4 linked regions of the Canis lupus familiaris genome follow. The protein of the gene in region 3 interacts with the protein of the main gene of each other region in a biochemical or structural test. Links are inferred from orthologs where the notes say so. Each region holds a gene or a part of one and is shown on either strand. Other genes may lie near its edges. The genes, in order: SMURF2, ACVRL1, SMAD1 and STUB1.

Region 1 (7,138 bases), on a different chromosome or scaffold from region 3:
CTTATAGAAGAGGATGGTGATAATAGTATACATACCATACACCATTTTGAGGATTAAATGAAATCATTCATGTAAAGCACTTAGCACAGTGTTTTGTATTTAGTAGGTGCTTAATAAATAATTAGCTGCTATTATTACTTCTGCTGCTACTGTTGTCACCCTCATTCATTTCATAGATTAAAAACACTGGGACTCAGAGGAGTTAAGTAAACTTGCCTTGAAGGCCACATAGTGAATGGGAGAGCTGGAACATAGACTTAATAAGCCTTGATTCCAAAGCTCATGCTTTTGATCACTGCTCTGTATCTTTGATACTAATGCTGACATTTTTCTGACTTTATTTTTAACTTTCAAAGTATGTTTAACACCAGTGAGGTGTAGTTTATATATAATAAATTATTTAAAGTATATAATTGGTTGAATTTTTACTTAAATTATTTTTGATACTAAATTTTACATCCAACCCAAGGTATTTGCTCATTTTGTTTAAACTCTTAAAAATCGCCATAGTTTAAGTTTACTTATAGACCACTTTAGCTCCTTATATATATGTTAACTTTTATGGATATGAAGTAGATTATGGTAATTTTGAAGGGGAACTTTAGTATGAAAGAACTAATCAGTATTAAGAGATTACAACAATGTAAGGCTTTGCTTTATTGTACTCCCCCCCCCTTCCATTTGTTTTTATATCACCTCCTTTAAAAATACCAATTCGGTCTATGTTTTATAATATATAGTCTTATTATAAATTAATTGCTAAACACTACATTTTGTGCTTTAATTGTTATCACAGGGCAAGAAAACCTCTTAGCATATCTTTATTTCCTATTCTTTATGGCTCCTAAACCTCTGCCAGGGTTTTGATGGAAATACTAACATTACCACATTTCTATGGTCATTTGCTTATTTTGTTACATGCATTAAAAAGTTACTGAGGAAGTACCATTCTTTTGAGAAAAAAATAATTTGAGTAGGCTAAAAGCTTTAAAGAACTTTTACATACTTTTATGTTAATTTTTAAAATTAGGTGTAATTTTTATTTTTGGTATGGCTTTTTTTCCCCACTAAATACTGGAGAAATTAGTATTATTTATGAGTGTTGACATTATTGAAGAATTCTGAGTTTGACTGATGGAAAATATTAGTCATACCTCAGTGTAAATATTTTAGAAGCTTCAGAATTCCAGAAAAATACATTGTACAGTTTTAAAATAAGTTGAAAATAGTTCCAGTATTCTGTATATTGATTTTTCAGTTTGTCATTCCTGATTTATAACAGCAGATGTCTTCCTGACCCAGTTATTGCACTAAAAACATTCTGTATCCACCTTCTTATTAATGCCTTATCTCTCAATTTTTATTTAAGCTGGGAAGAAAGGCGAACTGCCTCTGGAAGAATCCAGTATCTAAACCACATAACAAGAACTACGCAATGGGAACGCCCAACACGGTAAGAACATACAAATATCTTCCCAGGGTCTGTGCTTTTTGCCTTCCTGAAGTCATCACTTTCTGTTTATCTGTCAGCTTTACCAGATTTCCTTTCTTGGTTTATACTGCTCAAGATCAGTAGATCTTACAGCAAGTGCCATTATTATTTCCAAAAGTAATTTTCAATAAAGATTGTTTAGCAGGTCATCCTGTTATTGTAGCTCTAGGGCCTGTGATGGTACTTAATAAATATTTATTAAATGAGTTAACTGAATAAATTGAAAAGTCATCTTATTTATGGGACTCTTAAAAATTTTTTTGAGTCCGTTATTGAATGGCTGTAACAAACTATATATACTGAATCTTCATTTGTTCAGTCATGTTGGGATATGATTATATTATTATATTACATCTAATAAGGTCTGTGATCAAGATAAGAACCAGATATTCTGAGACCATACGGCAGGCACCTAATTTTGAGTAGGAGGCAGCAGGTTGTTAGAACTTGCAAAGGAAAACTCTGAAAGAGGAGAATTTCTGAACTAAATCTTGAAGAATGTTCAAATTTAACCAGATAAGGGGAAGATAATGAAAAGTGTTAGAGTAGTGGTAACCAAATCGTCATTCATTCATTTCACCAAATCGTCATATGCCAGTTACAATGCTCAGCATTTATGCTATAACAGTGAGCAAGGGAGAAGGGCCTTCACAGAGCTTAATGTGTAAAGACACAATACAAGATAATTTTTGGAAACTCCAAGGAAGTACTTTTTTAAAAAAAATGTTTATTTATTTATGTGAGAGAGTCAGGGTGTGCACGTGGCAGAGATGGGGGTGGAGGGACAGAAGAAGAGGGAGAGAGAATTTCAAGCAAGCCCCATGTTCAGTATGGAGCCAGACTTGGGGCTCAATCTCATGGCCCTGAGATCATGACCTGAGTCAAAATCAAGAGTCAAATGCTTAACCGACTGAGCCACCCAGGCCTCCTGAAAGTACGTTTTAAGTAACTGATGGGACACCTGGGTGGCTCAGCGGTTGAGCATCTGCCTTTGGCTCAGGGTGTGATCCCAGAGTCCTGGGATCAAGTCCCACATTGTTCTCCCTGCTTCTCTCTTTGCCTGTGTCTCTGCTTCTCTCTCTGTGTCTTTCATGAATAATAATTAAAAAAAAAAAGTAACTGTGTCTTTCACAGTAACTGAAACTGAATAGGATAAGTGACTGAATTTCCTTTTTTTTTTAAAGTTAAAAAAAAACTGCTGCCTTTACTCTGTTTGTTCTTCCCCTCTCTCCCTCACCTCTCCCCCACCTCTCTCCTTTTCCTGAGCAGGACTTGTACCAGACACAGAACATCAAATACTTCTCTAAGCTATACCTACTTTTATTTATTGGGGATTCGTTGCTTAACTCATTAAGTCACAGTTTTCTGTGTTATATTACAATCCTCAGGTAAAAGCTTAGCTCATGTTGCTATTTTAAAAAATACTTACTTGAGAGTTGTATTTCTAATATTAAACTGCCAAGGATTTTATTGTAGTCAACCCATTTTTATTGCATCTGAGCGTAAATAAATATGTACTTGTGTCAGTGCTTTAGTGAAGTCCCATTTCCTCCTAACTCATTTAACTAATGAAACTGACTTAATTTCCATGTGTATAAAGTTGATTGTGGTTGTAAATGTTAGTTAAAAATTAATTCTTGATTATCCTCTTATATTTTGGATGCCCTACCATATACCAGAAGTTCTTTGAAGAGTCACACTATCTTCTTTATTCATTCAATAAATATTTATTGAGCTACTTTTATATATATGCCAAGTACTAAGTGCAGGGGATACACACACACATATATGTATATAGTGGGAAAGAAACTAGGTAGACTTTCTTTTCTCAAAGAATATTCTAGTAAGGGAAAACAAACCAAGGGTTCAGATTAAAAAATAATAATAATTGCTGGGCTGAGAAAGTAAGGTGATGGACTTATCAAATGCCTAGTGACTGCCTTAGACTTGAAGGTCAGGAGACCTCTCAGACATTTAAGCTTAAGTTATGATTTGAATGACAAAAAGGAGCCTGGCCTAGGAAGAATAGGAAAAGAAAGCATTCTGGGTGGGAAGAAGAGCTCCTTTCCAGCCCTGAAGGTAAAACAGTCTTGGTTCAAGGCAGGTTCAAGGAACGCAAGAGAATCAGTGTGGGAGAAATGGAGAGGGAGAAAGGTAGAAAGTCAGGTCTGAGAGGTGGGCTGAGGCTAAGTCAAGTAGTGCTTTGTAAAGTAGTACTCACATCTACAAGTATCTCTGGACTTTGTATAAAATGTAATTCAAATCAGTACAAAATGATTTCAATACATAATTGATAGTCTGCCTATTAACATGAGTTTGGTATTTAGAGGCATCAGGATTGCTTTTATTCAGAATTCTTGAAATCATTATATTTGTATTGATCATTCCATCTTGTGACTGTCCCTATGGTACATACATTGTCTGGAGAACTCTACCTCTGAGATCTTGGTTGAGTAACTTTTTTTCCTTGTTACTTTTAAATAGACCAGCATCTGAATATTCTAGTCCCGGCAGACCTCTTAGCTGCTTTGTTGATGAGAACACTCCAATTAGTGGAACAAATGGTGCAACATGTGGACAGTCTTCAGATCCCAGACTGGCCGAGAGGAGAGTCCGGTCACAACGACATAGAAATTACATGAGCAGGACTCATCTACATACTCCTCCAGACCTCCCGGAAGGCTATGGTATGACTAGCAGAGGAAAAATAGAGTATGGTTTACTGGTTTCAATTTACTAAGAAAGCCAGAAAATCAGCTTTAAAGAAGTTATTAATCTGGGTTTAGGATTCTGCATGAAAGTAAATGTGTAAAATCTCCCAACCTTGGAAAACCTGTGAAGTGGTAGAGGACTACCTAACCAACAGTTGACTTGGGCTAGTCATTTAATCTCAGCCCTTTTGCTCTTTTATAATGAAATGAGATGAATGATACCTCTCCTTGTCTCAGAGGTATCATGAAGAGCATATGTGACAATGTGAGGTTACTTGCAAATAATACATTCTATGAAGGTAAGATGGTACTGTTATTGATAATGGTAATCTGAAGTCAAACCTGCAGTGTAAAATTTTCTAGACCTACATATTTAGAAATAACTTCAAAAGTATGTTTCTGATGGTATTTATATCTTTGTATTGTCTATAATTTTGGATTATCTACATGATTTGGGTTATTGTTGTAAATGACTTAGTCACTTCTCTGTATAAAATTTTTATAATCTAACATAATTTCCCAAATTGTAGAATTTCATGCGGAAGATGACTTCTAGTTGGATATAGAACTTTCTGAATTAGTCATAACCTGGGAGTATTCTTGTAGATACTAGGAACTCAGCTGTCTTCTCCTTTCTTGCTAAAAGTATATCAAAATAATTATATCCTTGTCCTCCCAACAGCCTGTAGATAAACCATGTCTGGGCTGATGGTGACACCTAATGACCAGCGTTGGGAATCACCTGATCCAACTTGTTTTATTTTTCCTCTACAATATGTTTTAAACTGTTCTGCAAATGCATGATTCTAGCTTTATTTTTAAAATATATTTTAACTCTTTAATTTAGAAAAAACCCAGTTTGTCCATTAACTGTGCTATACTGCACAGGTTAACTTACGTAGCACAGTGATGAGAGCATGGCCGTGGGAAATAGACCTGGGTTTATATCCTGGCTTTACCACATATTAGTTGTGTGACATTGGGCACATTATTTAATTTCTGTGAGCCTCAATTTTTTATCTTCCATAAAATGGGGAAATTAGTAGTCCCAACTGTGGAGGTTTGTTGCAAGAGAGGAATGATGATTTCATGTAAAATGCCTGATAGTTTCTGGCACAGGAAGCACTTAGTAAACTTTGCTTGTTATTATTAGTGTTCAGACCTTAGAATAAAGTATTTTCTGTCATTTCTCTCTCTCTTTTTTTAAAGATTTTATTTATTCATTCATGAGAGAGAGAGAGAGAGTGAAAGAGAGAGAGAGAGGCAGAGAAGCAGAGACGCAGGCAGAGGGAGAAAAGCAGGCTCCATGCAGGGAGCCCGACATGGGACTCGATCCTGGGTCTCCAGGATCCCACCCTGGGCTGAAGGCGGTAACAAACTGCTGAGCCACTGGGGCTGCCCTGTCATTTCTCTTTAATTGAGATTATAAGGCAAGATGTTTGGAGTGGGAGTGGTTATATTTTTACAATATTTGTGTGATTTGAATTAAAAACAAATTTTGTACAACCAAAACCTAGGAGTAATGTGGCTACCAAGGCTGAAATTATTGCAGCTGTCATATGTCACCAACTTTAAACATTTTTATGTTTATAATTTTAAGAAGCTTAAGTTTAAATAGATTTTATTATAGGTTTATAAGTAGGTTTATAGTAATAAATATTAGCAATAGTATCGTTTTTTATATTGGAATTTTTCATTAGATTTTGTTTAAAGACAGGTGGTTCTGTTGCTTAAAAACACAAATAAATAAAGATTAAAAACTACCACTGAAGAAACTTTTCCACAGATTCCTTCCCTTTGCCCTGGCTTTCTTACTCTCTTCCCAGGGGCTTGGAGTTAATGTCGCCTTTGACCTTTTTCTCCCCAGAATGCATGCTTTTTCTCTGTTCTTCCTCTTTCTAACTTGCTTATTTTTGCATCTTTGTCTATTTTTGAGTATAGAGTGTCTCCCCTTTTAATGACATATTCCATCTTTTTTGCCTCTGAGTCTAAATATGGTAGTCTTGAGAAAACACCTCTCTCAAGAAAAAACTTAAGTTTTGGTATAAAATTAGGCATACTAAACAAGCATTACCAGCCTGCAAACCCTTTGAAAGTTTTTGCAACTCCCTGCAGAATCTCCCTATAGTTGGTTAGCCTCTTCCTCTGAGCTTTCTTTTGTTCCCCTCAGGCTCCACTTTAAGACAAATAAAAGATCATTTCTTCATGTTTCTTTTGTTGCAATACTGGTACTGTGACAATCTTGTTTTCTGTTTTCCATAGCAACATGTTTAGTATTTGAGCCATCTTGTAAATATAGTTGGCTGTTAGATAGCCAGCCTCTGACCCTCATCACCATTTGTAAGATTGTTTCCAGGAGAAAATGTATTGAGTTGAAAAAAAAAAAAAAGATTTATAAGCATTTTTTTGGTAATACAATAGACTGGTAATTTGGAGAGTTTAACTATTGATATAATATCATCCTAGTGTCTATAGCTGTCTTTGATTTGGACATTCTGAATATGTTTTTATTATTAGTGTTTCTTAATTTTACAGAACAGAGGACAACACAACAAGGTCAGGTGTATTTCTTACATACTCAGACTGGTGTGAGCACATGGCATGATCCAAGAGTGCCTAGGTAAGAACATATCCACATACTCTCCACACCGCTGGATACCTATTTTACCTAGGATTTCTTTGATTATTTAATCTTCAACTTATAATGGTTTGTGTGAAAGTTAGGCTCTTTGTGATAGGCATTTCAGTTGACAGTGGAAAGGCCTTCCTATTCCTCTGTAGTCCCATCCCAGTGCCCTGCCCCCCAAAAGCCCCCAGTCCTTCTACCTTCTCACCCTTAAGAAAAAAAAAATCAGGGTGAAAAAATGGGTCTTTTAGGAGTTTGAAAACTGACGTGGAGAAGAACATACAAAACCTCACAAAACATACATCTCCT
Region 2 (7,138 bases), on a different chromosome or scaffold from region 3:
GGAGCGTTTTGAGAAAATAACGAAAACAGCAACAAGTTCAGAGCAAGAAATGCGGCAGAGAGGCTGACTTTTCACCACGAGATAGAAGGTTCTGAAATATCTCCGAGTAACCCAAATCTCGGGGTTCTGCAGGCCAGGGATGTGGGAGGGAGGACCCAGGGAGGTACCCTGGCATCTCTCCTCCGGAATCCATGCAGGTGAAGCAGAGACCTCAGGTACGTGTTCCCGGGGCCAGAACTCCCAGCTGTGAGCCCCTACCCCATGGCATCCCCAGGCCCCCACGCCCCCGCCCCCGCGGAGGCCTCACCGGGTCTGCGGCCAGCCGGTTGGGGATGGTGGGAGTCTGCTGATCAACACACACCACCTTCTTCATGTCCTCGAAGCTGGGATCATTGGGCACCACGTCATAGAAGGGTGGCCTGTAGTCCTCCACGATGCCTGAGGATGGCGGGGGGACGGACAGTCACTCGGCACCCCAAGAAGACCCCATTCCATCCCGAGGAGAGCCTTGCCCCACCTTCTGCCCCAGGGTGCAGAAAACCAGTTGTCTTACCCGTGTAAGACACGGGCCACGATAACATCATCAATATATTTTCAAAGAATAAGGATTACGGCTGTTGATTTTGCGCTCACCAGGTGCCAGGCATTGTGCTATGAACACTTTCATGCTTTATCTCGTTCGTCTTTGCGACAACCCCACGGGTATTACCGTAACCTCTATTTTACAGATGAAGAAACTGATGCTCGAGGAAGTGGAGCCCAAGGTTACACAGCCAGGAAAGGCAGAGTCAAGGCCTGAACTCCTCTCGTCGATTCCTCAGCCGGACCCTGTTCCGGTCTCTCCACGCTGCCTCCCACCCCGGGCCTGGGCACCACTCCCAGGCCCCAACTATCACAGATGCCCGATAAAAACATGGACTGGGCACGTACGCTGTGCCAGGCACTGTCCCGGCCGCACTGCATTAAATCCTCACAGCAACCCCGTAAGTCGCACTACCAGCTCCACTCTATGGACAATGCAACTAAGGCCAGAGGGGTGAGGAAACTCGTCTAAAAGCACACAGGTAGCGCGTGACTGAGCTAAGATTTAAGCCCAGATGGTCTGCACATTCTTGACCTGGGAGCAGTGCCGAAGGGAGGGGAGCTGGCCTGCTCTGGGGGGACGAGGTGGCGCGAGGAGAAAGGGACTTTTACCCAGGTCCATGTAACAGCCACCCCGTCCCAGAGATGGCACAGGCCTCGCTGCGTCCCCTCGCCATCCCTTAGCGGAGCCTTCTCGAAATGCTGCCTGGGGAGCCGCCCACAGCTCAGGCAGGAGAGGCCAGGCCCAGAGAAGGTGCCCCGGGCACCCCCTGCTCCCGGCCTGAGGCTGGGGGCCGTGGCCCCGCAGCCGCAACCTCAGTCGAGCCTCCGCCAGCTGTTCTCCCCGTGGCGGGCTTCCAGGCCGGCCCCTGTGCCGCTCCGGCCCTAATCAGCGCTGCACAGAGGCCTGAGCGTGTCTAATGGGCCTTTAATCAGCGCCGGGGCTGACACCAGATTACAGTGTTTATAATGCGCCACGAATCTGTGTGGGGCTTTCAGAGCTTCCCTCCGCCCCAGGAGCCTGCAGTCAGCCTTCCCGTCGGCCCTGGCCGGCCCAGCCTTCCCTTCCTGCCCGCACCGGTCCCTCCAGGTGTCCCTTCCGCAGCCCCAGTCTTCAGACCCTACACAGGGAGTTCACATCTGAAGGGCCAGGAATCTGAGCCCCTAGAGAGTCTCCCACAGGGACTGGTGACCCCCCGGCCTCCACCTGTTGATGCTGAGGGTAAATGAGGCCTGGCATGGGGCTGGCTCCCAGCAGATGCTCAGGAAATGAGAATGTCCCTGTCCCCAAGGAACAGAGCGCTCCAGTCATATCTTGAGGTCGTTCCCGACCTGTCAGGACCTCCAGCAAGCCCTCCCCAGGGACAGCCGCCACACAGCCTGACGAGTCTCTCCACCTGGTCCAGAATACCACCCGTCATCCATACACGCACCCCCCCAACCCCGGGCCAGGAGGGCACGGGCCACAGGGCTGTCCCCATACTGGCCAGCAGGACTGAGGTCCCCCCACCTGCTCCCGGCCCCTCCAACGGCAGCCAAAGTCCCAAGGAGGCAGCGATAAGCAGGCAGCGCAGACACTCCCAGCGCCTGCATTTCTATAGCAAAGAACCCGTGGCCTCCGCGTCACACCGCCTGGTTTCGGACCCCGGTGCTGCCCCGAGCCAGCTGCAATTCTCTACCTCGGCACCCTCACCTGGGAAGGGGCTGGTCTCGCATTATTACGATAAACTGCCACTGATATTTACTGAGCCCCAGAGTAGCTCCAGATCCCGCCCGAGGATCATCTCGACAACTAGAACCATCTTCATTCTCATTTTCAAGTGAAATTGAGGCACAGGGAGGTTAAGTAACCTGCCTGTGGTCGGGGGGCAAAACCGGGAGCGGAATCCAGGCAGTCTGATTCCCACCGCACGCTCCTGACCACAGGCCGATGCCAGCTTTGCCAGCACGGGATGTCGAGCTAAGATACTACACGGACACAGCAGGACGTCTGGCACACGTTTAGGCTCAAGAAAGCTTAGTTGCTACTGATATTTCTGTTATTACTACTTATCCAAGATTTCACAGCCAGCCTCCCGTCACAGCCAGGCTCACGGATTCAGTCACACCTCAAGGGTCACTCAGTTGAGCCCTCAGGCCACGGGCGCCAGCCGTGGCAGGAAGGCCCCTGTCTCCTGCCCGTCTGCCTGTCCACACGTCCGCCCCGTTCCTCCTTCCCCACCCCGTGCAGGGCAGGCCCTCACCGTTGACAATGGTCCGACGGGCAATCTCCCACAGCACCAGACCAAAGGCCCAGATGTCCGTCCACTTGTAGGACTCGAAGCAGTCGGTGCGGATCTGCTCTTCCAGCACCTCGGGGGCCATGTACCGCTTGGTGCCCACTCGCGGGTTGTTGCCGATGTCCAGGTAATCGCTACCCTGGGAGTGCATCACAGCCAGGCCTGTGGGCACCGGGCCTGTCACTCCTGCCGCTCGCCCGAGCCCACAGACAGGGTGGCCCTGGAGGCTGGGGTGCAGGAGGCAAGGTGGGGATGGAGAGAGGTGGTGGGGCAGAGAGCAGCAGGCAGAGGGACACCTGTCCTGGGGCGGGCGGGGGACCGCAGCCCCCGAGGACGCCTGTCCCAGCGACGCTCTGCTCGCCTAAGCGCTCCCCCAAGCGCCCGAGGACCCAGAGACACGGGAGTAGGCAAGGCCGGCGTTGTCATGCCTGTTTCCCGGGCGGACCCCCGAGGCCTGCTGAGGGGCGCAGTGCAGCCAGCAAAGCCGGGGTGAAACCCGGGGCTCCCGGCGCCCCGCCCCGTGCTCCCAACTCCCGGAACCAGGGTGCTGGGCCGGAGGAGTCGGGCCTGCAGAGCCGCAAGGCAGCCTGTGAGGCCGAGGGCGAGGGCACAAGCCAGCACAAGCCAGCGAGGAGGGGCGCGCTCAAAGCCCGCCCGGCCGCCGCCCCGCGCACCCCGCACTCACCCAGGTCGGCGATGCAGCACTGCAGGTTGCTCTTGACCAGCACGTTGCGGCTTTTGAGGTCCCGGTGGGCGATGGCCGGCTTGCCCTGGGTGCCGAAGATCTCCACGTGCAGGTGGGCCAGGCCGCAGGCGGCGGACACAGCCAGCTTCAGGGCCAGCTGGGGCTCCAGCGTCTGCCTCTGCAGGAAGTCGTAGAGCGAGCCGTGCTCGTGGTAGTGCGTGATGAGCCACAGCTGCGTGCTCGAGTTGCGGGACGTCATGTCCGAGGCGATGAAGCCTGTGGGCAGAGGGTCGGGCGGCTCGGCCGAGGGGCGAGGGCCAGGGAGGCTGGGCCGATGGGGGTCAGGGTCGGGGCTGGGGACAGAGGGTAGAGGGTCAGGGCAAAGCCGGGGCCGCGGTGGACGCTGGTCCGGCTTAGGCCAGGGAGGAAGCTGGAGTCGAGGCCGGAGCCGGGGGCCCCGGGGAGCCCTGAGGACCCCAGCCCCGAGCGCTCCCCACGTGCCTAGGATGTTGTCGTGTCTGAGCAGCACTGTATTGTAGATCTCGGTCTCCCGGAACCAGGACTGTTCGTCCCTCGAAGAGAAGATCTTGACGGCCACGCTCTCGCCGTGCCACAGGCCGCGCCACACCTCGCCATAGCGGCCCTTGCCTGATCCGGTGGCGGGAGGGTGGGAGGAGTCACACGCTGGGCACACGCAGCCCCTGGGCAGGGCATCCCCAGAGGAGCCCCCCACCGCCTTGATGCTGTCCTGACCGCAGCTGCAGAACCCTCGATGAGGTTTCACCCGCTCCAGGCCCGCCCCCACTTGCCTTGCCACCCCCAGCCGCTGCAGAACCATCTAGCCCAGACCCTCTCCAGGCCACCGCCTACCCAGCAGCGTTCCCTTTCGGGCCGGGCCTGCCCGGGACTCCGAGACCAAGAGCTCGCTCACTCCCGCGAGCTCATGGGAGGCCCTGGTCTCATCCCCCCGGGGCTCCCCCACTGCTCACCTACACACTCCACCAGGGCCACCTGCCGTGCCACTGTCCTCTGCACCAGGAAGGGGAGTCCTGAGCCACTGCCTGTGGTACAGTCGCTGTCCAGGAGATCCTAGGGGGCCCGGAGAGGCCGCTGAGAGGCCCCCACCTGGCCCAGCCCGTTTCTTCCTCCTAAAGCTGGGCCCCACTGCTGCGTCCCCCTGCTCCAAACTTGCCCAGCGCCCACCCCCGGCCCCCACTCAGATCTCCGAGTGTTTGTGATTGTGCCTTTCTTGGCTGCTTGTCACTCGGCACCCCCTCTGATTCTGTGGCTCCTGCCTAGCCCCTCCCCTGCCCGTGTCCCAGGTTCCCCCAGGCCCATACCCCCAGCATGCTGTCCCCCTGCTCCGACGACTTCAGGATGAGGCTGGACTCGCCCAGCTCGCTGCGTAGGCCCCGCTGCTTCTCCTGCCTCCGCCGGACATGCCACAGGCCCAGGGCACCCAGGGCCACCAGGGCCACCACGGCCAGCACAGGGCCCAGGATCAGAGGCAGCTGGCCATCTACTTTCGGCTGCTCCGGAGGAATTTGGGTGGCTGGTGGAGGGGGGACACCGAGGCCCAGCTTCCACCAGGCCGGATCCCTCCCCTGACTCAGATCCCAGGGTCCTGCCGTGCACCGCCCCCCCATCCAGGCCAGAGCACAAGGTGGAAGCAGGGCAGGGAGGAAGGGTCTGAGAAGATGGGGAGGGCCTGCGGGGACTTGCACGTACCCTCCAGCACCAGGGACACGTTGTGGTTGCAGAGGGGGCTGTAGCAGCAGTAGTGGTTCACGAACTCGGTGGGGCGCCCCCGGCACAGCTCCTCGTTCAGGTTCCCGCAGCCCCGATGCTCCTGGGGGTGTCGGCCCTCCTCCCGCACCAGCACCACCGTGCACCAGGTCCCCTGGCAGGTAGGCCCCCTGCAGTGTGGGCTCTCACACGTGCAGGTCAGCAGCGGGCCCCGAGAGGGCTTCACCGGGTTGCCTGGGAGACACACTGGAAGCTCAGCGCTGTGGGCCGAACTCCTGGGCGGGGCCCAACACCGATGTCTGACCCATTGCCCTTCCCTCTGACCTCTCAAACATACCCCTGAGGCCGTGGGCCTTTAGTCCCAGCCTCGGATGATCCTTCCTTCCAGAACCTTAGCCTCTGATACGATGATGAGAACCAGGCTTCGTCCTGTCCCAGATCCGAGGACCTTCCCTCCTGGTTCTAGGCCCGGCCCTGGCCCCTGCCCCAACCCTGAGGGCTCTCCTAGGCCCTCCCTGCCAACATCCCCATTCTCTGCACCCCCCAGATACAGGTTCCTACCCTGGAGGCCAGTAGGGCACCAGTCTGTGGGTTCAGATCAGAACATTGAGGGCTGGGGCAGCTGAGCCTGCCTCCCACTCTCCAGCCAAGCTCCTGAGTACCTCCCCAGCTCCTCAAATTCAGCCCCAGCAAGAGCTGACCCCAGCCAGCCCTTCCTCCATCCAGGTCCGTGTCCCCCACCTGCTTCCCTAGTACTTACCCTGGGTCAGGCCCCAGGCCATCAGTAGCATCAGAAGGCCTCTCCTGGGCAGGTCCAAGGTCATGGTCCCTGGAGAGGAGAGGGGGTTACCGTAAGATCCGTGAAATGTGTTCCCCTTGGTGTTTTTAGCCACCGACTGTGGGTTCCTCCCACCCAGAGGAAATCACTGGGAGTTTTGGGGGGGGGGCAGGGAGGCCTCCTCCCTACTCCCTGTGTCTGGCTTTGGGGCGGGGCCTGCAGGGGAAGTCCTGGTTCACTTCCCCATGGAAACCATCCTGTAAGGGGTAAAGGGTGGGGGAGCCATGTTTGAGTGACAGAGAGCTTGGGGGACTCCCAGCTATTTACCCCTGCTCCTGGGTTCAGACTGGAGGACACAGAGGGCACGGGCCGGGGTGGAAGGCACTTGTCTTCAGCAGTCCCCCCGCACCCTGTGTCCTCCGGCTCTTGCCCACCCCCCTCCCCGCGCCCCCTCCCCCAGTCCCCCCACCCCTAGCACTGGCTGCCTCAAACATAAACAGGCTCCTGTCTTCACTTCCTGCCATTCAGGGTCCCGCCAAGCTGGGAACAGGAATCAAGATTGTTTAGATCGGGGTCCGGATAGAACGGGCAGGAGTCACGCACAGCAGAGAGCTCAGCGTGTACTCTCAGGGCAGGCAGGGGCGCTGCAGGCTCTGGGGGAGCCACCTGGGGCTGCGACACCCCATGAGAGAATTCTAGGGGGACACCTTGGGAACCACAAAGGCCAACCCCTTATTCTAGAGAAGATGGAGATCAAGGCTTAGACAGGGCAGGAGACTCGTCTGAGGTCAGACAGGATTCGGTGGCAGTACCAGGAGTACGCCCCAGGTGTCCCGACTGCCAGGCCAGGGCTTTCTCCAGTCTGCCCCCCAATCCCGGGAGCACTGGGTCTGAGCCCTCAGGTTGTAACGACCATACAAACCCTGAACAGCGCTGGCTCGTGCCAGGCATGAGGAGACCCCTCTAGGCCTCAGCAGAGTGCAAGAGGCCCCCTGCCAGCCATTCCCGGCCCCCTTCCTTCTCCCTCCTTGCTGACCTGGGAAGGGCTGGGGGAGGGCCGGGGATGCG
Region 3 (7,724 bases):
GAGTCTTCTTTTCCTAAATTGTTCCTATGTTCAATTCAAATATCTTTGCTTTCAGTGGAGACCTGGTAACTGTGGCTAGTTAAGAAAAAACATGCCAACTGATACATCAATACAGTGCAACTCAGTGCTAATGACAGGACCAGAGATAAGAAGTATGTGGTCCTCTGATATTTTAGAAGGTCCCTAAGGTCACGTTAAATTCAAGCTCATATGAAGCCTGGTTCAGTATAAAAGCTGCAAAAGTTCTTATCAGAACCCCCAATGCATCTGTTTCTCCACTACCAAACGGAAAGCTACTTAGACAATGCAGATTGAACATCCTTTCATTTATTTTAAATTTCTTCAGAAATTCGGAGTTCTGTAAGCCTTTCCCTCTTTCAGAAACACTTGGGTTCCTGGTCAGCTCAGCCTTTCCACTATAAACAAAATCCATGTACCACCCATATCTGAAGTATAACGCCAGACTCCTGCTTAGCTGCCCCTGTAATATGGTTTAATTATGATGACTGAACTAATAGGCTGACATCATAGACTTTTACAGGCTGACCCCATGTCATCCTGATGTATCATTTTGCACCAGTTCAGTGCTGTAAATCAATTTAAGATCTCAAGCAGGTTGAAAAGGCTGGTAATGATGCTTTCTCTGCTGTCTCTGGAGACTCTACATTATACACAACTTACATTATTTATAAAGCCTCAATGATGCCTCCATTAGCCTTGTAAGACTACACAAATGAGATCTTTTATACACACACAACTTGGCCTTGATTATGTAGGTGACTACAGCTTAAACATAGTCATCTAATTACACCCCAGTTTCTTCTTTTTCTTATCTAACCAAGTCATTAAATTTTATCTTTAACCCAGAATTACTATAAATCAGAATCACAAACTGAAATTTAGTTTTTAACTAACAAATGTATGAGGGTGGGGGGAATGAGACTGACATAATGCTTCAATGAATTTCGTAGGGAAAAATTTACTTAAATTCCAAGAATATAAGAGGTTAACATTTTCAAATACCTATAAAATGGTCATTTCTCTAAAATGCAAAGGTCATCCACTCTTCAAGGGTATAAAACCAATGGATACTGCAAAAAGGAAAAATGTATTTGGTTACATACCTATGGTTGGAGGGGTCAAAACTAAATCAAGGACAAATCCCTACACTCAGAAGAAACCCGATCTTGTCTGGATCCTCCAGAGGCTCTGGCATCACCCACTTCTAGAAAATCATCTCTCACGACCCTGGTTACAGTTTCCTAAGAATTGCAGTATCACACAAATGTACACCACCTGCAGAGAAATATCAAGTAACTGCAAATGGGAAAGAGAGAGGGAGTACGACAATCACCTTAATCATTTCAGCATAGGTAGGCCTGGCACCTACATCAGAAGAACACTGATGCAAAATATTTATACTACTTGAAAATACTGGGTCCCTGAACATGGGCCCTGTCACTATTATTTTTTTTTTTTTTTGAAACAGTGGTTCCAATACAGCTCACCTACTTCCAATAAAACGTAAAGTGGTAATTATAAACAACATGAAAAGTCAACACGGGCCGAGAACAGTTTTCTTATCGTGTTACTGAACGTTAAGCATGTTATCACCACGGGCAAGGAGAGCAAGAAATGCTCTGAAACGAAGGCATTCTGTGATTTAGGTGCTAAGAGTTCCAGCAACAGGATGACAGAGTGACATCATGCAACTTCTGTATCATTCCACATGCTTTGAAACTTCGGATACAATGGAAAAGAAGAGAACAGGAAGGGAAGGGGGGGGGGGGTAGGGAAGGCCGGTTGCCACAGCACTCACGAAAACGATGCTTTCTCAAGAAGATGGTTCGGAGACGTGCCTCGATTTTCAGAAGGGAAGCGCCTCGCGGGCTATCTTGCACAGTAGATGGAACAATCGTTTGAGCCTCAAAATAAACAAAAGCCGCAGCTACTGTAGTTGTGGGATCCGGCAGGCGTTTGTTCCTCCTCCCTTCCTAAAGTGCATCAAGGAAACGTTCTCCCTTTAAGCCCTCATGTGTATAAAGCAACTAGAAAAACAAGCCCACGTCGGTCTCGCTCACACCCACTCCCCCCACCTTCCTCCAGCAACGAGCCCGAGGAACACTAACAAAGGCGGCGAGCGGAGTAAATGAACAGTTGTTCAACAGCGAACTCACAAATACACATGCAGTGAGGCAATCGAATCCGGTAAAGGGAAAGGAATGAGACGACACTTGGAGGCGCACGGGGTGTAGGCGGAAGAGAGAGGGGAAAAAAAAAAAAAAAAAATACGCGCCGCCGCCAAGCCTTTGAATAAATTAGAGGGAATTTCGGTGCGAACTTTCCTTGACCTCGACCCCCAAGAGGCTCGCTGGGGCAGGGAAAGGCCCCCGTGCGGGATGCGGAGGCGCGCGGGGCACCGGGGGCCCCTGGAGCCGGCCCCGCTCGGCCGGGCGCCCACCGCGCGGAGGGCAGCGCCCCGCGGCCGTCCCCCAGCTCCCGCAAGGGTCGCCCGGGCCGGCGGGACACAATGGGGCGGCGGGCGGCGGGCGGCGCGCACGGGCCTCGGCCCGGCTGCGGAGGGGGAAAGAGGGCGGGAGGGGAGGTCCCGCGGCGGCCGGCGCCGGGGAGAGGCTCGGGCGGAGGAGCGCGGCTTCCCCACGGCTGAGCCAACAAAGACGCGAGGAGAACGGCGCCGAGCCCCGCCTGGCCGGCCGGGCGCCACAGCGGGAGCGGGAGCGGGAGCGGGAGCGGGAGGCGGTGGCAGGTCCGCTCCTCGGCGCGGCCGGGAGGCGCCATCATGGGGGGGGCCCGGCCCGGCCCGCCCCGCGCGGGGAAGAGCCCCCTGCCCGCCGCGGCCCGCGTCACCGGCCCCGCGCTCACCCCACGGGAGGCGGCGGCGGCGCTGGAAAGCAAGCGCCGGGCGCCGAAGGAGGGCGGGGACGCGGCCAAGGAGAAAGTTGGGTGCGGGTCTGTTTCGTTTTACCGGGTTGGCGGCGCGCCCGTCCGCGCGGGCGCACGAGGGGCCGGACGAGCGGGGTCCCGCGGCCCCGGTCCGGCCGGCGGGGCGCTGCGCTCGCAGGGTGCCTCCCCGCGCCTCGGCCCGGGCTCGGCCGCTCGGCCTCCGCTTCCTCCGCCCGCCCGCCCGCTCCCGGAGCCTGGATTGATCTGGTCGCGCTGGCGTCAGGGAGTCGGAGCCGCCCAGCCTCCACTCGGCGGCTGCCAACAGCCGGCGCACTCGCCCGCCCGCCCGCACGCTCGCTCGCTCGCCCGCCCGCCCGCCTGCTCACACGCGCACCCGCGCGCCGCCGCCGCCGCCGCCGCCGCGCGACCAGGGATCCTCTCCAAATTCCCGGCCGCTGAGCGCGAGCGCGGGGCCGCGGGGCCGGCCACCTCCCTGCTCCCGCCTCCCCCAGCCCGCCCCCGGCCCCACGCCCCGTTGACTCCAAGGAGAAAGAAACCAGCCTTCTTTCCCCTGCTTCCTGGAGTCCCGGCGGAGCGGGCTTGGTGCGTTATCCTCACGTGAAGTTCGAGGTTTAGTCTTTATTTTCTGAACTACTCATCACCCGCCCACCGCGCCCTCCGAACGCTACCACCGCACCCGCGGGGCGCGTTTCTGACCATTCTCTTTCAGACCTCTCCTTTTCATGTCCAGTTTCCATTGCCCTTCACTTTTGCACGCCCCACAAGTTGCACGTACCCAGAACTGGATAGCCTAGTGCTGCTGCATCTGCTTACACCCACCCGTATCGCTGTTTTGTGTTTTGGGCCAGTTCAGTATGTGATGACTTGAGTGGGTAACGTAGTGGTTCTAAGTAATGGCAGATGCCACAGTGGAACTCAACTTTTTTTTTTTTTTTTTTTTTTTTTGGGATGGAACTCAACTTTTGATCCGATTTCTATAATCTTTTATATGACACCAACCCCCTAAAATAAAAACAGACTGGCTCTCATCTAACCTGATCTGCATAGACCTCGAACATATCTTTTGTAAGAATTAATTTTTCCCTTGGCTAGCTCTCTGGAAGCTGGCATGAAATCTTGGATAATTACCATAATGTTGAGTTATGTTTAGAGAGGAATGATTACTCTGAGGAATAAATTTCTCACGAACTCAAAGAACCATTACCACCAGTATAAAGAAAATATCAAAGACCGAAGGAAGTTAATGGTACTCTCCAATTGTTCATGCACCTTTACATGTCCACAGTCTATTTTAAATTCATATTTCTTAATTTATTTCTGCATTCCATGTTTAATTATTCAAAAGAAATGCAACAAGCCCCATAAGACATACAACACTTTGTAAATTATAGATCAGAATATTTCAGTTCATCTCTTTGTTAAGCTATTTGAGCACTTACTGGTCAAGTCTTGGGCCTCATCTTATTTTCCCTAAAAGCAGCATTTGACACAGTTCATCATTCTCTGCTCCTTGAAACAACAGCTGGCCTGAGCCTTGTGAAATGCCACTCAGATCAGGTCACTCCTCTGCCCAAAACCCTTCCCTGGTAAATAGAACGTGCTGTATACACAATGGAACATTATTCAGTCATTAACAAGAATGAGATACTGACACATGCTGCATGAATGAACCTGGAAAATATTGTATCACATGAAAGAGGCCAGATACAAAGCCCACATATTTGATTCATATTGAAATACCCAGAATTGGCCCATCTGTAGAGACAGGAAGTAGAATGTTGGTTGCCTATGTTTGGGAGGATAGGGAGATCGAGGAAGAGCGATAGCCAAAGGTTATCGTGTTTCTTTGGGGGGGGGGGCGTGTAAAAAATGTTATAAAATTAGTCTGTGATGGTAGTTACACAACTCTGTGGATATATTAAAAGCCATTGAATCGTGCACTTTAAATGGGTAGATTAGATGGCATGTGAATTTTGTTTCAATAAAGCTGTTTTAAAAAGATACAGCAACTAAATGTAGTGTGTGATCCTTAATTGGACCCAGGATTGTGGGAGAAGCTATGCAATGACAATAAAACTCACTTTTTATTTTATAAAAATTATAAAATTATTACATTTTAACCTACACATGACCTTGCTTAGTACAGTTCTGATCGCCACAAATGACAATTATTCACACTGCATATGCTATGCAATTTGATTTTACCCTTTGTGCAAGTTATTTCTTTAAATGGCGGCAATAAAAAATTGGATACTTTTTTCAAAAAAGGACATTATTTGGACAATTGTCAAAGCTTGAATATGGCTTGTGTATTGATATCATTGTATCAGAAAACCTTCCCGTGGCTCCCCATTTCATTCAAGTAAGAGTTCTCACCATGTGTACAAAGCCCTCCCTGATCTGTGCTCCCAACTCCTTCCTACCTGATCTCCTACTCTCTCCCTTGCTTACTTCCTCAAGTCAACCTGGCCTCCTCACAAGTCCTGGAGCAACCTGAGTCCAATCCCATCTCAGGGCCTCCACAGTAGCTGTCTCCTACCTGGAAAGCCCTTCCCACATGGCTGTGGGCCTTCCCTCACCCCTCTCAGGTCTTCATCCAACTGTTCCCCTCTCAATAAGACCCAGCCTGGCCACTCTATCTAAACTTTTACCTACCCCTCCCAAACACACATGTTTTGTAATCCTCTTTCCCTATCACTACCTAACTACTTAGCTGAAAGAACAGGACTTTTGGTCTGTTCGGTTCATTGCTATTCTCTCAGAGCCTAGAACAGTATCTGGCACCCAGTAGGAGCTTATTAAACACCTGCTGAATGAATGAATGAATGAACGAACAAACAAATGTGTGAGGCACTGTTCTAATTACAAGGCATATAGTTACAAACTACACAGATAAAAAATCCCTGCTCTCATCAAAGAAGATAAATAATGAATAAATACACAAATATTCTAGGTGGTGGGTGGTACATGGGAAGGAAGAAGCAAGGTAGGAGGGATTGGGAGCAGGGGTGGGTGCTATGTCTATAGGGGTAGGGCAAAGCTCCCTAACAAAGAAGTCTTGAAGGAAGACAGGGAGCATGCCACTGATCTAGGAGGAGGGTCACCAAACTCCCAAGCAGAGTGAGGAACAAGTGCAAAGTCCCTGAACCTGAGTCTACTTCATTCAATCGCGGATTATCCAGGAGGCCAGTGCAGCAATGCAGGGAGAAGCTAGACACAGGAGGGAAGACAGTGTGTGGACCAGGTGCACCTGTGCTGGTAGCTGCCCAGGCAGGAACACAGGGAAGTTCTCTTCTACTACTTCTCTTATCTTAGTGAAGAGCCCTACTTCCTGAGAATGGTTAGGGTGGGAGAGATTATGGAGGTTGGAAAAGAGCAGCAGATATGAAAGAGTTATCTTCTGGGAGAGTTTCAGAGCAAATGAACTACACAAATATGGTAGGATTGCCAGGCAGTGCTAGTAAGTGCCGATTTGAGGTTAATGGTCATGAATGCAAAGCAAGAACACTCAGCAGGGCTGTGGACTTTTCTACAGCCTTGTCAGCCTGAGGGGACAGCACGAGGGTTTTGCAGGTAAGTGTGATGGAGGGAAAGAGGGTCAGAGAGCAGAGAATGTGGGCAGGGGAGAGGCTAGGGTGGGCTGTGGGAGTGAGGGAGGTGAGGATATAAAGGAGTAGAAGACAAAGGAAAGGTGATAAGATCAATGGATTGAAGGTCCTAATGGAGTCCAAGAATTGCCAGAGTTGAGACTCACTCCCAAATAATAGGAACAGTCTGGGAATGGGATGCTTGAAATTATGGAGCTGGGGCAGTTTGGGGTGATGCCAAGATCTAGTGGTGTGGTCAGAGAAAGTAGGTGGGTAAGGCAGGGAAGAGGACAGTCTCCTCAGAGAAAAGGAGGTATCAAGTCACCAAAGGCAAACTAATTCTCTTATTGAGCTAGCCTGCTTAAAAAATGAAAACAAAACCAAAACACAACTACTAATCATTTATCAGTAAGGTGAGCCCTTAAAATTGGCTGCAAATACTAAATGTGCAAAATATGAACCCCCCCCAAATTTATGTTAAGAGATAGTTCTACTGAATAGAAAAATAAATGTCATGTAGGGTTTGTGTAGCAACCCCTTAAGTGAATTTAAATGAATCAATTCCCCTGGAATGAGCTGGCCAAGGATCACTGGTGTGGTATTCCACACTAAAAAGGAATGTTCCAATGATAACTATTGTTGAGGGAAAAGTGCAAATTATGAATTTTTTATGTTGAAATTCTTCTATTCTCTCATCACACCTTTTCCTCTAGAAAACTTTTGGCTGCTTATAGTTAGGAATGTGTTTAGGCACGCTGTTTTGAATATCAGTGGGAAGACCCTACCTGCCTTCTAAGTAATATGAGGATGGGAACCTTGTCAAGTGTTTCCCCACTGCATGCCCAAAGTTTACACAGACCTATCACAGGAGACACTCAAATATTTGCTGAAGGAATTAAATATCTAACTGAACCGCTGTGAAAATTCCAATTGGTGTTTTTCTTAAAATAGAGCAAACTTTGCAGTAATGGTTCTTTTTCATGATTGCCTTCACTCTCAAATCTGAATTTCTCACTTATTATTAATTTCAATTTATTTAAACTTCTAATGTCTAATTATAAACGTGAGGAATTTGCAAAAAATTATTACCCCTTCTCCGAGTTCCATAACAGTCTGTGCACCACAGGTTTTGTGTGAACATTTTACAGTATTTATCATCATGACAAAATTTTGTAGGAATTCCCACAGTTCCTTAAGTTTGTGGAGCATTCT
Region 4 (7,770 bases), on a different chromosome or scaffold from region 3:
CGACAGCCGCCTGCCGCCCGACTTCTTCAGCGCCCTGGTGTGTGACATGCTGCGCTTCTATGCAGAGCAGGGTGACGTGCAGATGGCCGTGTCCGTGCTCATCGTGCTGGGCGAACGAGTGCGCAAGGACATCGACGAGCAGACCCAGGTGGGTGAGTGGGTCTGGGGAGGGCGTCCCTGCCACCCCAGGGCCGCCGGCGCACTGACCTCCGGCCTCCTTCCCTCCCGCCGCCCCAGGAGCACTGGTACACGTCCTACATCGACTTGCTGCAGCGCTTCTGCCTCTGGAACGTGTCCAACCAGGTGGTGAAGCTCAGCACCAGCCGCGCCATCAGCTGCCTCAACCAGGCGTCCACCACCCTGCATGTCAACTGCAGCCACTGCAAGCGGCCCATGAGCAGCCGCGGCTGGGTCTGTGACCGCTGCCACCGCTGCGCCAGTATGTGCGCCGTGTGCCACCACGTGGTCAAGGGGCTGTTCGTGTGGTGCCAGGGCTGCAGTCACGGCGGCCACCTGCAGCACATCATGAAGTGGCTGGAGGGCAGCTCGCACTGCCCGGCGGGCTGCGGCCACCTGTGCGAGTACTCCTGACCGCCGCGGGCGGGAGGCGCTGGGCGTGGGGACCGAATAAAGGAAGCAGGAGCCGCAGTGTGAGGCCGCCCGTCACACGCGTCACCCGCGCGTGCGCTCGTGCCGCCAGCTCGATGCTGGGCGGCTCCGCTGGGTGGGCGGTGTCGTCGCCATGGGAACCCGCGGCGGCCGCTCCGCCTTCCGGGGCGGGCCAAAGGAGCTGCTTCCGGGGCGGGCCGGGCGCTGTTGCCACGACAACGAAGCTCCCGGCAGGCTTTGCGGCGGCGGGCTCATGGCGCCGGGGGCGCGGCCACTGCTGCTGTTGGCGGTCTGGACGCTGGCGGCGCCGGTGCTGCGCGGCGCCGGGGACACGGGCGACGGAGGGTGGTGAGCGGCGCGGGCGGGCGGCCGGGACCCGCGGGCGGCCGGCCGGGTTGGGGGGGCGGCGGGGCGCTGACGGCCGTGCCCGTAGGCAGAGGCGCGGGCCCGGGGCCCCGGCCGCCGTGGCGGAGGAAGAGCGCTGCGCCGTGGAGCGCCGGGCGGACCTCAGCTACGCCGAGTTCGTGCAGCAGTACGTGCAGCCCCCACACCCGCCTCCCGCCCCGGCCCCTCCGCCCGGCCCCCGCGCCCCTCCCCCGAGCCGGTGCGACCCGCTGCGGCCCCGCCCCTCCAGGTACGCCTTCTCCAGGCCCGTCATCCTGCAGCGGCTCACGGACAACTCGGTGAGTGCAGCGCCCCGCCCGGCCTCTCCACCCGCGCCGGCCCGCCCTTGAATCTTCTCCCCACCCCACCCCACCCCAGCGCTTCCGGGCCCTGTGCTCCCGAGAACGGCTGCTGGCCTCGTTCGGGGACAGCGTGGTCCGGCTGAGCACCGCCAATACCTATTCCTACCGGAAAGGTGAGCTGCCGCGCGCCGCCGCCCCACCTGCTTGCCGGCACTTGCAGGCGGTCTCGGCCAGTCCTGACCAGGCCCTTTCCTACAGTGGACCTGCCCTTCCAGGACTACGTGGAGCACCTACTGCACCCCCAAGACCCTAGCTCCCTGGGCAACGGTGAGTAACACCTGGTTGGCCGTGGGCTGGGCTGGGGGCATGTGGACAAGCACAGGTGCTGAGACCCGGGCGCCTCCTATATTCTGTGTTGGCAGACACCTTGTACTTCTTCGGGGACAACGATTTCAGCGAATGGGCCTCACTCTTCCAGCACTACTCCCCGCCTCCGTTTAGTCTGCTAGGTACCACTGCTGCCTACAGCTTTGGAATCGCAGGTGGGTACCCTGCACGTGGCATGCCGGAGGAAGGGGATGCGCCAGGTGGGGTTGCGTCAGCAAGTGCTCCTAACTGACCCCACAGGAGCTGGTTCTGGGGTGCCCTTCCACTGGCACGGGCCCGGGTTCTCAGAGGTGATCTACGGCCGCAAGGTCAGCACGGGCCGGGGCTGCGGCTTGGGGCTTACTGCCTGCCAACATGGAGTGACGGGCTGATCTCACCCTCAGCGCTGGTTCCTGTATCCCCCTGAGAAGACACCTGAGTTCCACCCCAACAAAACCACACTGGCCTGGCTTCAGGACGTGTACCCAACCCTGGCACCATCTGAGAGGCCCCTGGAGTGCACCGTGCAGGCTGGTGAGGTCAGTAGGTGGCAGGAAGGGGTCAGGCTGGATCACACGCCACCAGCTAATCCTTGTGCCCCACCCTCCACCAGGTGCTGTATTTCCCTGACCGGTGGTGGCATGCTACGCTCAACCTGGACACCAGTGTTTTTATCTCTACTTTCCTCGGCTAGGTAGAGTGGGCGGCTGGTGAGCCCAGCACACACCAGCACACACCCCTATAGTGCTCACAGGTTTTATTACAGGACAGTGGTGGCAGCAGCCCACCCTCACCTGCTGTTTCTGGCCCAGAAGGGGGTGGAGGTGGGGCTCATGGTCCAGCAGCAGAACTGATGAGGGTGGGATAAGGGACACCAGGGCAGGGATCTAGGGACACAAACTATGTACAGGAACTGGGAGCTACTGCCCCAAAGCCCACCTGGGCCAGGGTACTAGGCAAGGCAGGCAGCTCTGGCACTCGCCTGGCCTCAGTAGTCCTCCACCCAGCCGTTCTCGGAGATGAATGCATCAATGACCTCTTTCATGGCCAGGTTGGGGATGAGCTGTTCCTGGGTCAGGGGGCTCCGGGTGACAGGGTCAAAGTGGCCCACACGCTGCAGTGTGCAGTGACAGCAGGTCAGAAAGTGCTCAGTGGTTACGGGCCCTGCTCCCCACTCTTGTTGGCTCTCACCTGCAGGTGTTCCTCAATGTCCTTGCGGTCGTAGGTGATGCCACTAGGCGTGATGCACGGCTCCCGCATAAGCTCGAAGCTGATCTTGCCACACAGGTAGTCCGGGATGTCTCGCTTCTGTGGCACATGGAGTCAGGTCAGGCACCAGGATGGGGACCCGGCTCCGATTCCTGCTACCCAGAGGACAGACAGCTTACCTTTCTCTTCTCGTCCACCTGGGAGAAAAGCTCATCCATGTCTGCTAAGTACTTGTCCTGCGGAGAACCAAGCAGCTACGCGTGGGCCAAATGCCCCTTCCCCCTCCCCCGGGCACCCTCCAGTCACAGGCACGCAAACACGCACACATCCACACGTGGGCTGGGGCACCCTCACGTGCTTGGCCTCGATGCAGGCCTGCTGGGCCCGGACGTGGCCATCATCCTCATCACCCTCGTGGTTCCGCTGGCATTCTTCTAGCTCCCTGGGGGTCGACCAGGAGCTAGTCAGGAATGGGTCTGGCCAGAAGAGATCACACTCCACCCCAACCTCAGGCTTGTTCAGGTCTCTCTTCCCTCCAACTGCTCGCCAGTGCTGGCCTTCAATAAACACTTGTGTTCTTGACTCAGTTAACCCCAGAGTGCTGCCTTGGGGGTGGGTGGGGCCCTGGAGCCTGCCGCTACCACAGCCCACCTCTCCCGCTCGGCCACAATAAGCCGAGTGAGGTAGGAGTGCAGCTCATTCTCCTGGTGGATGCGCCGCTCCTCGATGCTGTTCCAACGCTTCTTCTTGGCGATGCGCAGAGCACTAGGGATATCATCCCCGAAGTTGAGCCGCTGCTCCTTGGCAAGGTTGTAGGCTGGGGGAACAGGGGCTTCAGGTCACCTTCTGGCCAGTCCATCCACCTGGTCCCAGGCGCCCCCGCCGTCCCCTGACAACCTGTAGGCCCACCTCGCTGCAGGTTGGCGATGGCCTCATCATAGCTCTCCATCTCTAGCTGGCACTGCCCCAGGAAGAAGTGTGCCTTCACAGACTGCCCGTCCAGTTCCAGAGCCCGCCGGCAGTCAGCCAGGGCCTGCTCATGCTGCTGCATCTTCAGATAGCACAACGCCCGGTTGGTGTAGTACACGGCCACCAGAGGATTCCGGGTCTGGGGACCAAGGCCAGGCCAGCCAGCATGAGGGAAAAAGCTCCGTGGGCCCTGTCCTAGGCCCTGTCCTGGTCTGGGAGCCCGTAGCTAAAATCCAGACACTAGAAATTTCTCAGCTTGGAAGCCTCTGCTCAGCTAGGGCTGTAGAGTGAACTCCCGGTCCTCAGGCCTGCGCTAGCCCACCCTCTCGGGGCTCCCAGGAGGTTTTGTAAAGGTGAGGTTCCCGGACCTGAGGAGAGCCCCAGCTTCGGGCCTGGGCTTCTCAAGGGACAGGAACCCTGGTCCCGGCCTGGGGCCTCGAGCACCCCTCAAGCTCCCACCCGCCCCTCCAGCAACCAGCACTGGCTCGAGAACCGCGCGGCCTTGGCTCGACTGGAACATGATCAGCACCGAGTTCTCGGGGCCCAAACGCCCCCGCGGGCGAACCAAGACCGCCCCGAGGGTCCGGCGGGAGCGGCGGGGCAGGGGCTCCGGGGAGGACGCGGGGCCGCGAGCCGGGCCCCGCCCACTCCCCCGCCCGGACGCCGGCCCCCTCCCCCGGCGCGGGCGCACTCACGATGGCGCGGCCGTAGCAGGCCGCCGCCTCCGGGTACTTGCGGCCCACGAAGAGCCGGTTGCCCTGCTCCTTGAGCTCCTGCGCGCTCGGGCTCTTTTCGGGGCTTCCGCCGCCGGCGCCCAGCCGCGCGCCGCCCTCCTTCTCCTCCTTGCCCTTCATAGCGCCGCGCGGCACAGCCCGGGCTTCGCTCCCAGGCTCCGCGTCTGGCCCGCCCTGCGCCCGCAGCCCGAGCCCGCAGCCCGAGCCCGCGATCCGCTCGGGCCCGGTCCAGCGATCCGCCACCGGAACTTCCGGCCGCGCGGGGCGGGGCCAGCGGCACGGGCGGGGGCGCGCCTGCGTCCGACGGGCCGCGGAGGCAAGGGGGGGCGGGACCGACTGGGCGCATGCGCTCGAGGGAACGCGACCCGCGACGTCGGACGTCCGGGACAGCGACAAGCGCGGCCCCGCCCCGCCGAGGCCCCGCCCCGCCTAGGCCCCGCCCCGCCGAGGCCCCGCCCCGCGCGGACTAGGCGGCCGCCGGCTGGCTGCGCGGCCGTGGGGCCTTGAGGGCCGCGGGGCTGCGGTCCTGGCGCCGCACGGGGAGGTGCCGCGGCCGCCAGGGACGGCTGGAAGCTCTGGAGCGGTGGCAGGACGGCCGAACCCCGCTGCCCGAGGCTCCGTCGCCGCCCTCCCCAGGCCCCAGAGGGCTCCCCGCGGCCACCGGGGGCGGAGCGGAGGAGCACGTGGCCGCCGGCGTGGAAGCGGGGGGCGGGGCTCCGGGTGAGGTTCCCCCACCCACCCCGCCCAGCCCACCTCGGCCCGGCCGGTGAGTGTCGTCGCCTGCCGGGGGGCCCGTGGCCGTGACCCCGGGGGTGCGCGGGAGCCGCCTGCCCAGACGCTGGCGAGGCTCGAGCCCCGGCTGCAGGAGCTCCGAGGCCGCCGCGCGCCCGCCGCCCGCGGCCCTGGGGAGGCGGGGTGCATGCGGCAGGCAGAGCCGGCCCGAGCGCCGCATGGCCTGGGCCCGGGCCCCCGCCCCCCTCTGTCCCCGCCCGGGCGGGACCTCAGGCCCGGGACCCCTCCCCGCGTGGGACCCGCCCCAGCCTGGCCACCCGCAAGGACACCGCGCCGGCCCAGAAGCGCAGAGAAGCCAGGCTGGCTGAACCCTGCTGGGCCCGGGCCACAGGGTTCTCGGAGGGCGGGCGACCGGCTGGGCTGCAGTCTCCGCTGCCTGTGAGGACCCCAGCTCCTCGCACACCCGCCACACGCGCACGCCTGGTTTGGGTGCAGGGAGCACCGGGAGAGCTTGGGCTGCCGTGCGAGGGCCGGGCGGGCCCCTGGGGCCAGCCCCCAGAGCCCACTGCAGCCACCTCCTGCTGTGTAAAATATTTATTCATTCTCCAAAAAGGCTCAGACCGCAAGTTGTGGGGGAGAGGCAGGGGCAGGGTCTCCCTAGGGCCACACTTGGGGACCTCCACTGCCTGGCCAGGCAGTCCTATGTCCCCAGGCCTGGGAGGGGGTGGCCAGGGCTGATGTAAGGCTTGGCCTGGACTCAGTGGGCTGCGAGGGCCACCTGCCCCTACGGAGGAGAAGCAGTCTCAAGGTGTACATTCACAGAGGGCAGATGTGCAGGCTCGCCTGGCAGCCAGCCCACACACACCAGTGCCCTGACCCATGGGGCCCTGGGGAGCCCATCAGGGTGGTGGAGGGATGTGGGCGCCTAGCAGGTCGTAGGCGAAGACGTTCCAGAAGATGGCAAAGAGCAGGAAGGTGCCATATGCGAGCAGCACCACCCACCAGCCACACTGGTCCCGCAGGCGTTCCTCATAGCTGCGCAGGATTGTCAGGCCCATGCTGACTCCTACCACTGCACCTGCCAGGTGTGCCATGAAGCTGGGCTGGGGGCCGGAGGCAGGCAGTGGCGGGGAAAAACGGAGCCACACGGCCCGGCCCACTTCAGAACTCACTGCAGAGAAAGGTGGCAGGTGGGCAGGTGGGAGGCACTCTGGCCTGAGGCTGAGGCCCCTCTCAGCCCCCTGACCCCGTACTTACTGCACACCAAGGCCAGCACCATCCTCAGCAGCTTGTAGGGACACCTCATCCCAGCCCAGTTCTGATGGGGCGCGAGACACAGGCTGTGAGGCAGGCCTTATGGGCCCCTCCCCACACCCGCCCCGCTGTCTGCCCTATTACCATGACGACGTTGGCCAGGTGTGCGGAGCACAGGGCGTAGACCCCACCAGAGCCCCCCACCACAGGGGCCCGCATGTCGGTAATGGAGACAGTCAGGGAGCCTGTGTGAGCAAAAGGAGAGCCGTGAGCAGGAGGCTCGCCGGTGCAGTGGCCGGGGGGCGTGTGCCTGCCTTACCTGCCAGCACCCCGGCCAGGTAGAGCAGGCTGATGCGGAGCAGGCCGTGCACCATCTCCAGGGGCACCCCGATCATCAGCTGCAGGAGCGCGTTGAAGCCCAGCTGCTCCAGGCTGGCCATGTGGGTGTAAACAGATGTGAGGTTGGTGGCGGCGGACCACCAGCCCTACCCGACGGGGACACCAGAGGCGGGCCCCCGCTCACCCAACGTGCATGAACATGTAGGTGAGGAAGCGCCAGGCTCGAGCGCGGTGGCCGGGGTGGTACACCAGGGGGCTCTTCATGTACTCGGGGTGGTAGGTCTGCAGCACCCACTTGTTGAGACGAGCCCCATAGCACAGGAACACGATGATCTGGGGGAGAGGGGCGTTAGGGCTGGGCTGGGCCGGGCGCGGGGAGGCTCCGGGGTGGCGGGCGGGTAGGCACACCTGGGCAAGGGTGACTGAGGCCATGAACACGGGGGGCGGGCAGCTGCGGTGCCGGTAGAAGTACCAGTGGCGGTCCACTTCTCGGGGCAGGATCTCGTAGGCAACGTAGCGCACGAACCGCTTGTAGACACCCAGGCCCGGCTGGTCCAGCAGCCCGGCCCGGGGCAGCGCCCTCTGTCCGTTGGCGATGGCCCGCTTAAAGCTGCTCGAGCGTTTACTGCTGATCTGGGGGGGCGCTAAGCATGGGCCACCGTGCTCCCTGCGCCCCGAGCCACCCTGCCCCCTTGCTACCCCCCCCTGCTCCTGGTGGAGGCTGAGTCCCCGCCCCCGTCCACACCCCTCCCAGGTGGGAAGGGCAGGCGTGGGGGCTGCCTGCCCACCCGCTCGGCCGGGCCCCTACCCTGCCGTCCACCCACTGTGGCACTGACCAGGTCCACCAGCTCCTGGTAGCAGACCTGGCCCCG

The links.
Region 1: the proteins of SMAD1 (region 3) and SMURF2 form a complex in vitro, tested with the Homo sapiens proteins (2 studies listed by BioGRID and IntAct, with this or other methods). The link is inferred for Canis lupus familiaris from reciprocal best matches to the Homo sapiens genes SMAD1 and SMURF2.
Region 2: of the proteins of SMAD1 (region 3) and ACVRL1, one has a biochemical effect on the other in vitro, tested with the Homo sapiens proteins (2 studies listed by BioGRID). The link is inferred for Canis lupus familiaris from reciprocal best matches to the Homo sapiens genes SMAD1 and ACVRL1.
Region 4: the proteins of SMAD1 (region 3) and STUB1 form a complex in vitro, tested with the Homo sapiens proteins (3 studies listed by BioGRID, with this or other methods). The link is inferred for Canis lupus familiaris from reciprocal best matches to the Homo sapiens genes SMAD1 and STUB1.

The regions. Positions count from the first base shown.
Region 1 is NC_049230.1:14,543,154-14,550,291, forward strand, and holds part of SMURF2 (E3 ubiquitin-protein ligase SMURF2), read left to right. Parts: intron 1-1,369; coding exon 1,370-1,453; intron 1,454-3,976; coding exon 3,977-4,179; intron 4,180-6,738; coding exon 6,739-6,823; intron 6,824-7,138. UniProt on the Homo sapiens protein: E3 ubiquitin-protein ligase which accepts ubiquitin from an E2 ubiquitin-conjugating enzyme in the form of a thioester and then directly transfers the ubiquitin to targeted substrates.
Region 2 is NC_049248.1:43,569,223-43,576,360, reverse strand, and holds part of ACVRL1 (serine/threonine-protein kinase receptor R3), read right to left. Parts: intron 6,517-7,138; exon of another isoform or gene 6,122-6,516; coding exon 6,053-6,121; exon of another isoform or gene 5,527-6,052; coding exon 5,275-5,526; exon of another isoform or gene 5,099-5,274; coding exon 4,887-5,098; exon of another isoform or gene 4,636-4,886; coding exon 4,536-4,635; exon of another isoform or gene 4,195-4,535; coding exon 4,048-4,194; exon of another isoform or gene 3,823-4,047; coding exon 3,547-3,822; exon of another isoform or gene 3,024-3,546; coding exon 2,826-3,023; exon of another isoform or gene 2,813-2,825; intron 988-2,812; exon of another isoform or gene 729-987; intron 439-728; coding exon 308-438; intron 1-307. UniProt on the Homo sapiens protein: Type I receptor for TGF-beta family ligands BMP9/GDF2 and BMP10 and important regulator of normal blood vessel development. On ligand binding, forms a receptor complex consisting of two type II and two type I transmembrane serine/threonine kinases.
Region 3 is NC_049236.1:44,383,292-44,391,015, reverse strand, and holds the start of SMAD1 (mothers against decapentaplegic homolog 1), read right to left. Parts: upstream 4,471-7,724; 5' UTR 4,365-4,470; intron 2,128-4,364; exon of another isoform or gene 1,820-2,127; intron 1,297-1,819; exon of another isoform or gene 1,125-1,296; intron 1-1,124. UniProt on the Homo sapiens protein: Transcriptional modulator that plays a role in various cellular processes, including embryonic development, cell differentiation, and tissue homeostasis.
Region 4 is NC_049227.1:40,361,657-40,369,426, forward strand, and holds STUB1 (E3 ubiquitin-protein ligase CHIP), read right to left. Parts: upstream 4,807-7,770; 5' UTR 4,694-4,806; coding exon 4,535-4,693; intron 3,979-4,534; coding exon 3,780-3,978; intron 3,688-3,779; coding exon 3,522-3,687; intron 3,462-3,521; exon of another isoform or gene 3,313-3,461; coding exon 3,225-3,312; exon of another isoform or gene 3,107-3,224; coding exon 3,050-3,106; exon of another isoform or gene 2,970-3,049; coding exon 2,853-2,969; intron 2,776-2,852; coding exon 2,650-2,775; 3' UTR 2,402-2,649; downstream 1-2,401. Other genes in the region: GATOR complex protein WDR24, read left to right, coding at 1-148, 238-591; JMJD8 (jmjC domain-containing protein 8), read left to right, coding at 863-957, 1,043-1,292, 1,372-1,468, 1,554-1,622, 1,718-1,837, 1,923-1,990, 2,066-2,200, 2,275-2,355; RHBDL1 (rhomboid-related protein 1), read right to left, coding at 6,205-6,476, 6,563-6,623, 6,704-6,804, 6,879-6,991, 7,083-7,231, 7,307-7,531, 7,735-7,770. UniProt on the Homo sapiens protein: E3 ubiquitin-protein ligase which targets misfolded chaperone substrates towards proteasomal degradation.